Linked DNA regions of Mus musculus. The protein of the gene in region 1 binds, or shares a complex with, the protein of each later gene. Each region holds a gene or a part of one and is shown on either strand. Other genes may lie near its edges. A codon is read from its position in the direction of its gene.

Evidence for each region.
Region 2: the proteins of Mfsd1 (region 1) and Glmp are in contact, whole or in part, in a cryo-EM structure (PDB 8R8Q), measured with the Mus musculus proteins. Residues at the interface, in NP_080089.1 of Mus musculus: Val288, Glu292, Lys293, Arg295, Phe349, Phe351, Leu411, Asp412, Lys414, Gly415, Tyr416, Leu417, Leu418, Val421, Ile424, Ser428, Leu432, Val435, Leu439; in NP_064387.1 of Mus musculus: Glu250 (codon at 2,768), Asn252 (codon at 2,774), Ser253 (codon at 2,777), Ile254 (codon at 2,780), Asp255 (codon at 2,783), Asp256 (codon at 2,786), Glu257 (codon at 2,789), Pro260 (codon at 2,798), Ala261 (codon at 2,801), Phe263 (codon at 2,807), Gln264 (codon at 2,810), Arg292, Phe364, Leu367, Val368, Ile371, Met372, Ala375, Ala378, Leu381, Met382, Gly385, Phe389.

Annotation. Positions count from the first base shown.
Region 1 is NC_000069.6:67,581,191-67,585,573, reverse strand, and holds the start of Mfsd1 (major facilitator superfamily domain-containing protein 1), read right to left. Parts: upstream 2,807-4,383; 5' UTR 2,757-2,806; coding exon 2,597-2,756; intron 931-2,596; coding exon 878-930; intron 1-877. UniProt on the Homo sapiens protein: Lysosomal dipeptide uniporter that selectively exports lysine, arginine or histidine-containing dipeptides with a net positive charge from the lysosome lumen into the cytosol.
Region 2 is NC_000069.6:88,323,818-88,328,084, forward strand, and holds the start of Glmp (glycosylated lysosomal membrane protein precursor), read left to right. Parts: upstream 1-1,205; 5' UTR 1,206-1,264; coding exon 1,265-1,384; intron 1,385-1,859; coding exon 1,860-2,114; intron 2,115-2,297; coding exon 2,298-2,495; intron 2,496-2,593; coding exon 2,594-2,812; intron 2,813-4,039; coding exon 4,040-4,267. UniProt on the Homo sapiens protein: Required to protect lysosomal transporter MFSD1 from lysosomal proteolysis and for MFSD1 lysosomal localization.

The DNA.
Region 1 (4,383 bases):
TTTTTCCACACAGATTCTGCAATTAACGAATCAAAACAAAACGTAGTGACAGCTGTGTATCTATACAGGGTATGTTTCCTAACCATGTGTGAACTGTTACTTCCTTGTGACTCTGGAAGCTACGACCCTTGCCCTTAGAATAACAGCCATACCTGGGAACATCTTAAGTCCACATACTATGTCTCAGGCCTCATGGATTCTAGGACCTGTCACTGGCATGGGGGCCAACTCAGCCCTTTTCTGTCTCCTACGTTCCTCCTTCTTCATTTCCACCTCCATTATGGACTCCTCCCAAACAGAAAAGAATCGTCCTTGCCTAGTCTTACAGATGTTATCCTCTTTAACCCCTCCTAGAATGCAAAGGACAGCCCATGCATTTTTCCTCTGCCTAATGGCTTTTTAAAATGCACATAATGATGGTCTAAATGCCCAAAAAACAACAAATATCAAATACAGTTTTACAACTCAAAACCAGACTAAGAATGCAGATAGGGCCAATACTCAGCAACCAGTATGCACATTTATAAAAGTAAATAACAGCAAAGTTTATCTAAGAAGGCCAAAGCTGTCCCACCACTCACTCAATGGTTCAGAGGAGTGCAAAGCTCCAACCAACACTAGCATTTCCCGTAACACTGTGGGCAGAGTCCATAATTATCTACCTAAAGAAGAAAACCATCTCGAGGCATGTATATGTTATTCAGGAGTTCTTTAGAGAAACAAATTTGATCTCTGCAGCCTGTGGGTGTGGTGATAACAGACACTAGAAGAGAAAGTGGACATCTCAGATGGGGCACCTGAGAGCTCATTCTATCTGAGCATCTGTAAGTGAGTGCTCCAAAGCAAAGCAGTACAAGAACGGAGAAAATCAACTCACCCGTTTCACCTGAGTCTGAAGGGCAGCGGGGTTGTCATAGCAGAAATAGCTGCCTAGAAAAAGGAAGAACACATATTTCACTCGGAATGATAATATCTATATAAGAGTTTCAAGTTACAACTCCTAACTAGTAACTCCCCGGAGGTGTTTAAGGTTTACTATGGCTGACACTATGACAACAGATTTTTTTTTCTTGCTTGTGTGTTTGTTTTACACCACTTCCTGATCTACCATTCCAAAGAACTTCCACAAGGTAGTGGTGTGCATACACAGCATATACCAGAAACCTGATAAAGAGGTCAACATCAACTGCTTTTAATCATTTCGTTTCCGTCTTTCTTCCCATGCTTATCACTGTATTAACATCTTCATGAAATCGCTGCATTTCCCTTACTTAAAAAAAGTCTACAAGCATCCTCTACAGGTGCACGTTAGCTGGGTCCTCACTTTTCTTGAAAGCAGAGGTAACTCAGAGATTCAAACCAAACCAGTATTTGATATAGATCCTGATCCTGCAAACAAACAAACAAAAACAAACAAAAATACCCAGGAGCAAATAACTGAGTGAAAACTGGGCTAGAAACAAGAACAACACAAGCGCCAGTCTAAGGGATCAAATGAAAACTGGCAATGTCTCCTGGGAGCGGGGAAAGCTGACAGGCTTGAAGAAGCCCCAAGGTAACACTGCCTGTTTCCCCGCTGACTCTGTAAATACACAAAGCTAGCGGTCCAAAGGTGGAGAAGGCAGCTAGCGACAGGGCGGCTCTAGTTTCTCAAACCCAAACTTTCAGCCCAATCTACCTACCAAAAATAAACTGTCAACTTGAGTAGGGACAATTTCTTCAAGTGTTTTGTCTATGCTTACTGGTTATTGATTCTAAACCTAGAAACTTCTCCTTCAGGATTTAACTGCTTATAAGAAATTCAATACCATGGTTGGTTGGTTGGTTGGTTGAGACAAGATCTCACTTTGTAGCCCTGGCTGGCCTCTCTAGCGCACAGACATGTCCCTGTCTTCCAGTACTGAGATTAAAGGGCGCCACCACTATCAGCTCAATACGTTTTAAAGCAAATGAGTACCATCTTCTCAAAAATAAAGAAACCGAAGCCCAAAGTATCTTTTATAAACCAGGTGCATGTATTTCTGAATCTGATCCCCCTGAAACACTCTTTCAAGCCAAGCCAGTTGTTACGAATCCGAACAGTTTCAATGTAAACTAAAAACTGTAACACGGGAGGGAAGGGTGTCTTTAAAAGTAGCTAATGAAAGTGTTTTGCGCCAGATCAGATTTCATAAGTGAAACCAACTTAACAAGTGTGGTCCTGCAAGGCTGTCTCACAGAGGAAAGGTAAGAAAAGACTCCTACTAAGGTGTACTTAGCAGTGAACACTATCCAAAGCGGATCCGAGCTCTAAAAGAATACAAAGGAAAGCACTGGGGAATGGGAGGGGTCGCCTGGGGAGGGAGGAAGAGGGACTTAGTCACGCTCTGAAATTCCCCCAGCAACGTTCTGAAACTCTCGGGAGCACAGCTCTCCGGGAGAAAGATCTGAGTTTCCTTCTCATCTGCGTCCCCAGGGAGGAGCTGCTGAACACCGGGGCTTGGAGGAACAAACGTCACCTCGCTCCAGACACTTGGAAAAAGCGGGCTCCCGAGCCCAGGCAGCAGCGCGAACCCTGGAATCCCTCTATCATCTGCCCCAGCCGAGCCCCGCTCACCGAAGCCAAGGAAGCACATGAGCGACAGCACCACGAGCCGGTGCGCCAGGCGGCTGGGGTCGCAGAGCGCGGACAGAGCGCGAGGGGCGCCATGGACTGCGCTGTCCGCCTCGCGGCGGCCCCCAAGCAGCGCCCGATCTTCCCCATCCTCGTCCTCCATCAGCTTGCAGCCTGGAACGGAGCAGGAAGCAAAGGCAGGGCGGCAGCGGCAGCGGCAGCACTCACGTGATCACGTGTGTTCACGTGACTTGCTCGGGCCACGCCTCTCCGTGCTCACGTGAACGGTTGCTCACGTGGTGGCCGGGCTCCCGTGCTGCCTTTCTGTTCTGCCGATGGGGTATAGATCCGGTCGGGAGTGGGAGTGAGCGACCGGGTTCTCATTAACATCTGATTTAAAACCAGTAGGAAGTGGTGGTGCAGAAGTCGTGGTGGAAGGCTTGACCTGAACCCAGCTCAGTCCTCCCTCCCTCACTTCGCCAACTCTTCATGAAGAGTTGTTAAGTTGACCTGACGGAACAGCATATGATGTACCTGACACTTATGTACTAGAAAAGAGGACAAATTCTCTCACCTCTGAATATGGGTGAGAGAATTTCCTTAGGTGGACAGAAACTAATCATGTGGGTGGATGGATGGTGACTGCAGCTGAAAGAGTTATTGAATTCCTCTGGGTTTTATACGTTTATAATTACACGTTTATACTGATCTTGGAGTAAGAGGAAAGTCGAGTAAAGTAGAAACACGAACATCCTAAATGAGGAGCCATTCAGAGATGTCCAGCAGAGTATAGAGACCACTAGGTTTGTTTTGAGAAGTTTGATTTGGCAGCGCAGCCTTCTACCCCACATTTCTAGGTTTGCCGAGTCTTTGCAGTAGAATTTTGAGTGTAGCAAGGCTAGGTGCTAAATAGCTGTAAAGCGTGCCGCAGAAGTGAAAGTGAGAGGCTCAAAGCTGGAGCTATCGCACCAAGGAGAGATCCAGTGACTAAATGAGGACTTGCTTAAACAATAGCACCTGGGATTTGAAAAAGGAGGAGGACTTTTGAGTGTTTTCTAGACTCCTAGCTTGGGCCCTCCAAAGAGATCCAAATATGGGGGATGGGGAAGCAGAGGGACTGTGTCAGAGAGATACCGTTTGGAATGTTTATGCATAGCCTGCTGTCTACCTTGCATTCCCCTGACTAACACTGTGCAGTTGCCAGCACAGTGGTCATACCCCACCTTGGGCTTAATCTTTCACTCAGCATCAGCTGTACTACAATGAAGGGCCTAGACCATCAGTTTACATTCCTTGGCTTTGTCCACAGTATAGATTACTGTCTTGTGCTGGCTAGTTTTATGTCAACTTGACACAAGCTGAAGTCATCTGAGAGGAGGGAGCCTCAGTTGAGAAAATGCCTCCATGGAATGAACCTGTAGGCAAGGCTGTAGGACATTTTCTTAATTAATGACTGTTGGGGAGGGCCCAGCTACCCTTGGGTTGATAGTCTGAGGTTCTATGAGAAAGCAGGCTGAACAAGTCATGAGGAGCAAGCCAGTAAGCAGCACTGTTCCATGGCCTCTACATCAGCTCCTGCCTCCAGCAGAAGGTTCTGTTTGAGTTCCTGTCCTGACTTCCTTCAGGGAGAGACTATGATGTGGAAGTATAAGCCAAATTAATCCTTTCCTCCTTAACTTGCTTTGGTCATAGTGTTTCATTAAAGCAATAGAAACCCTAACTAAGACAAGTCTAATGGCTAAGTCAAAAATACAGGTAAGAGGCTGGCTGCCAGTATCTCTAATCCACTT
Region 2 (4,267 bases), about 21 Mb from region 1:
CAGGCAAAATACTTTACATGTTAAGATTTTAGGAAAAACAGGCTGGTTGTGGTGCTCATGCCTTTAATTCCAGCAGAGGAGGTAGAGGCAGGCAGGTGGATCTTTAATAGTTCAAGGCCGGCCTGGTATGTATAAAGAGTTCCTGGACAGCCAGTCCCTGCCTACTTGGTAATCTAATAAATGAAATGCATTTACCTGCTGAACATCTCATGCCCCAGACCTTGAATTTCTGGTCTTCCTCTTCTCACCTCTTGGCTGGAATTAGGGTGTCTTGGTCCCCTTGTAGAAACAAGCCTCCATTCCTGTTTGGTTCTGTTTTCTGAGACTACCATACCTAAGGATTCTTTTATTATTCTTTTACTTTTTTTGTTTGTGTTTTTGTCTTTGTTTTTTCAAGACAGGGTTTCTCTGTGTAACCCTGGTGTCCTAGCACTCACTTTTCTCAAACTCAGAAATCCGCCTGCCTCTGCCTCCCAAGTGCTGTGATCAAAGGTGTGCGCCACCACCGCCCGGCATTCTTTTACATTTTACTGCACTTGTTTTATGTGAGCAATGCACAGAATGCATGTGTAAATCAGGTTACAGCTTCTGGCAATTATTTTTCTCCTTCTACCGCGTTGGTCCTGAATATATATCCAACTCATGTTCAGTTTAGAGCAAATGCTGAGGCATCTTGCTGACCCCCAAGGGTTCTTTTATATCCAATTCCTCTCTATATCTTTCCTTTTTTGTTTTGAAGATTTTTTTTTATTATTATATCTAAGTACACTGTAGCTGTCTTTAGCTGCACCAGAAGAGGACGTCAGGTCTCATTACGGATGGTTGTGAGCCACCATGTGGTTGGTGGGATTTGAACTCAGGACCTTCGGAAAAGCAGTCAGTGCTCTTAACCACTGAGCCATCTCTCCAGCCCTCTCTATATCTTTCTAGCACAGAGCAGTAACATACAAATTACTCTGTTAAATTGTGTGGAAATTTTAATCTGGGTTTATTCACCAGAGGTGATGTAGGTGGGGCCGGTAGGGTGTCTGCAGTAAGGTAGGAGTATGTTTGCACAGCTAGTCTAGGATGCCTAGGCCAACCTGTTGATGATAAAATACCTGTTCACCTTGAGCTTTCGGGAGGCTATTCCAACTTAAACAGATCTGGGTTAATAGAAGCGGCCCCTTTAAGAACTTTGTTGGCCCGCCCTCAAAAGGGATCAGCAGGAAAGGAGTCATGTGACTCTGAGGCTCTTCCGCTGAGTTTAACTAGCTGTGGCTGTATGTTTCGCTGTTGGGGACCTCACTGGGGCTGGGTCCCCTGTGCCCCTACCCCATGGCTCCTTTTGAGTCTACTTGTGTGTTCAGCTCCATTTGGCCTGCAGGGAGAAGAGACTCGCCAGGTAAGGGCTCTGGAACTGAAGTTATAGATGTTTCCGGAAATCCTACCTTTCTAGGATGACCGGAATCTGGGACAACAGAGGGGTGGAAGGTGGATGCAAGAGAGATAACAACCCAGAGAGCTCAGTGTGGAGTCACGAGTGATTGGAAGAATTGTGGAGGGGTCAGGCATGACTGCGTCCTGCTTTCTGACGATGTCTGAGCCATGGCTCAGCCATTGTAGCCCAGGAACAGGCAAGTTTGGGGACTTAAAAGCCTTGTTAGCTCTGAGCCCTCTGAGTAATCCTGGATCCACCCTATGTTCTCAACCCTACATCTGCCCCTGATTCCAAGTTCCCCTCAGTTTCTACATTTCCCTCTTGCCTGGTCCTCAAGAGCCCTTGCATTGCCCAGGTCCTGTCCTCCACCTACAAGCTGCAGCTTTGCCTGTGAGCATACCTGATCTTGCTCCTTCCGCCCCACTACCCCGTGTTCCAGGTATCTATGGAGGTTATTTCCGGCTGGCCAAATCCACAGAACCTGCTTCATATTCGGGCAGTGGGCAGCAACTCCACCCTGCACTATGTGTGGAGCAGCCTGGGGCCTCCAGCTGTGGTGCTGGTGGCCACTAACACCACTCAGAGTGTCCTGAGTGTCAACTGGAGTCTCCTGCTGTCTCCCGATCCTGCTGGGGCCCTGATGGTGCTCCCCAAGAGCAGCATACAGTTTTCTTCTGCTCTCGTCTTCACCAGGGTGAGGGTCTGAAGGAGCCCAGAGAGAAGATCACAAGAAGAGAGTCCATCCTACCCCCAGGGCGAGGGACGGGTTTAGCCCAGGGTGGGTGAAGTGAATGCAGTTTTGGGTGGGGTGACTGGGAGGGATATTCAAGAGAAAGCCAGAGGGAGGCAAGCCTCTTCCACTCTACCCTGTCCCCAGCTGCTTGAGTTTGACAGCACCAATGCGTCCGAGGGGGCACAGCCTCCAGGAAAGCCATACCCTCCGTACTCCTTGGCCAAGTTCTCCTGGAACAATATCACCAACTCATTGGATCTTGCCAACCTGAGTGCCGATTTTCAAGGCCGCCCTGTAGATGATCCTACTGGAGCATTCGCCAATGGCAGCCTGACCTTCAAGGTGAGGCTATGGGGAAGGAACTGGAAATGACTGATGAGGGTGGGAGTATCTGTCCCTCAAGCTCCATTCTCCCCACATGGCTTCCTTCTCCTTCCAAGGTCCAAGCCTTTTCTAGATCTGGTCGACCTGCTCAGCCCCCTCGCCTCCTGCACACAGCAGATGTCTGCCAGTTAGAAGTGGCCCTGGTTGGAGCTTCTCCTCGTGGAAACCATTCCCTATTTGGTCTAGAGGTAGCCACCTTGGGACAGGGCCCTGACTGCCCCTCAGTGAACGAACGGAACTCCATCGATGATGAATATGCACCTGCCGTCTTCCAGGTCAGGTCACCAGTGCGAGATAGATGGGTGGGAATGTAAAGTGGGATCCCGCTAGCAGCCCAGAAAACCCACCAACCACTTATTGTTAAAAAAGACTGTGTGTTTGGGTTTTTGAAGGATTTCTTTTCATTTTATGTGCATGTATGTCTGTGAAGGTGCCAAATCCCCCGGAACTAGAGCTACAGTCAGTTGTGAGCCACCGTGAGGGTGCTGGGAATTGAACCCAGGTCCTCTGGAAGTACAGCCAGTGCTCTTAACTGCTAAGCCATCTCTCCAGCCCCAGAAGACTTGTTTTTTATGTGTGTGTATTTGGGTGCATGTGCATACAGGTTCCTATGGAGGCAAGAAGAGGGTATCAGGTACCCTGGAGCTGGAATTACAAATAGCTGTAAGCCTCCTGGTATGGGTGCTGGGAACTGAATTTGGATTTTCTACAAGAGCAGCAAGTTCTCAGCACTGAGCCATCCCTAAAGCCACCACAACACCCATTTTTAAAAGGGTTTTCTGTTTGTTTGTTGAGACAAGGTCTCCCTAAGTATCCCTGGCTGGCTGACCTAGAACTCTTGCTATGGAGACCAGGCTGTCCTTGAACTCAGAAAGGTTCATCAGCCTCCTGAGAGGTGGGATTAAATGCACGCACTGCCACATCTGGTCCGGGTTTCTTTTTTCTTTCTTTTTTTTTTTTCTTTTTTTTTTCTGGTTTTTCGAGACAGGGTTTCTCTGTATAGCCCTGACTGTCCTGGAACTCACTCTATAGACGAGGCTGGCCTCAAACTCAGAAATCCGCCTGCCTCTGCCTACCGAGTGCTGGGATTAAAGGCGTGCGCCATCACGCCTGGCTATGGTCCGGATTTCTTATTTAACAACACTTTTCTCTGGCTCCTTTTAGTATGGGGTTGCACTAGTCTATTGCCTGCCATCTGTGCCCTCCAAGGAAGCAGACAAAACCAGTGCTTCCAAGATCTTCAGCTGGGATGCTCCTTAACCCGGGGCCCAGAGGGAGCGAGCGCTGAACGGCTGCAGCTCCGTTCATGTCAGTTTCTCTCTGTAGAGGAGAGACTGGACCTCCTACATCTAGCATGTCATTTCTACAACTACACTTAGTACTGAGGACTCTTGGTGACTTAGTGCCTGTACTGCTGATATGCCTTCTGGGAGAGCTGGGGAAGCAGAGGTGTTGGTACAGGTTGGTCCTCCTCACCCTGCCTCCTTTGCTTGTCTCTCCAGCTGAACCAGCTGTTATGGGGCTCTTCTCCATCTGGCTTCATGCAATGGCGACCAGTGGCTTTCTCTGAGGAGGAGCGGGCCCGAGAATCAGCCCTCCCCTGCCAGGCTTCCACTCTTCACTCCACCTTGGCATCTTCTCTCCCTCATTCACCAATTGTTCAAGCCTTCTTCGGGTCCCAGAACAACTTCTGTGCCTTCAATCTGACCTTTGGGGCTCCCACGGGCCCT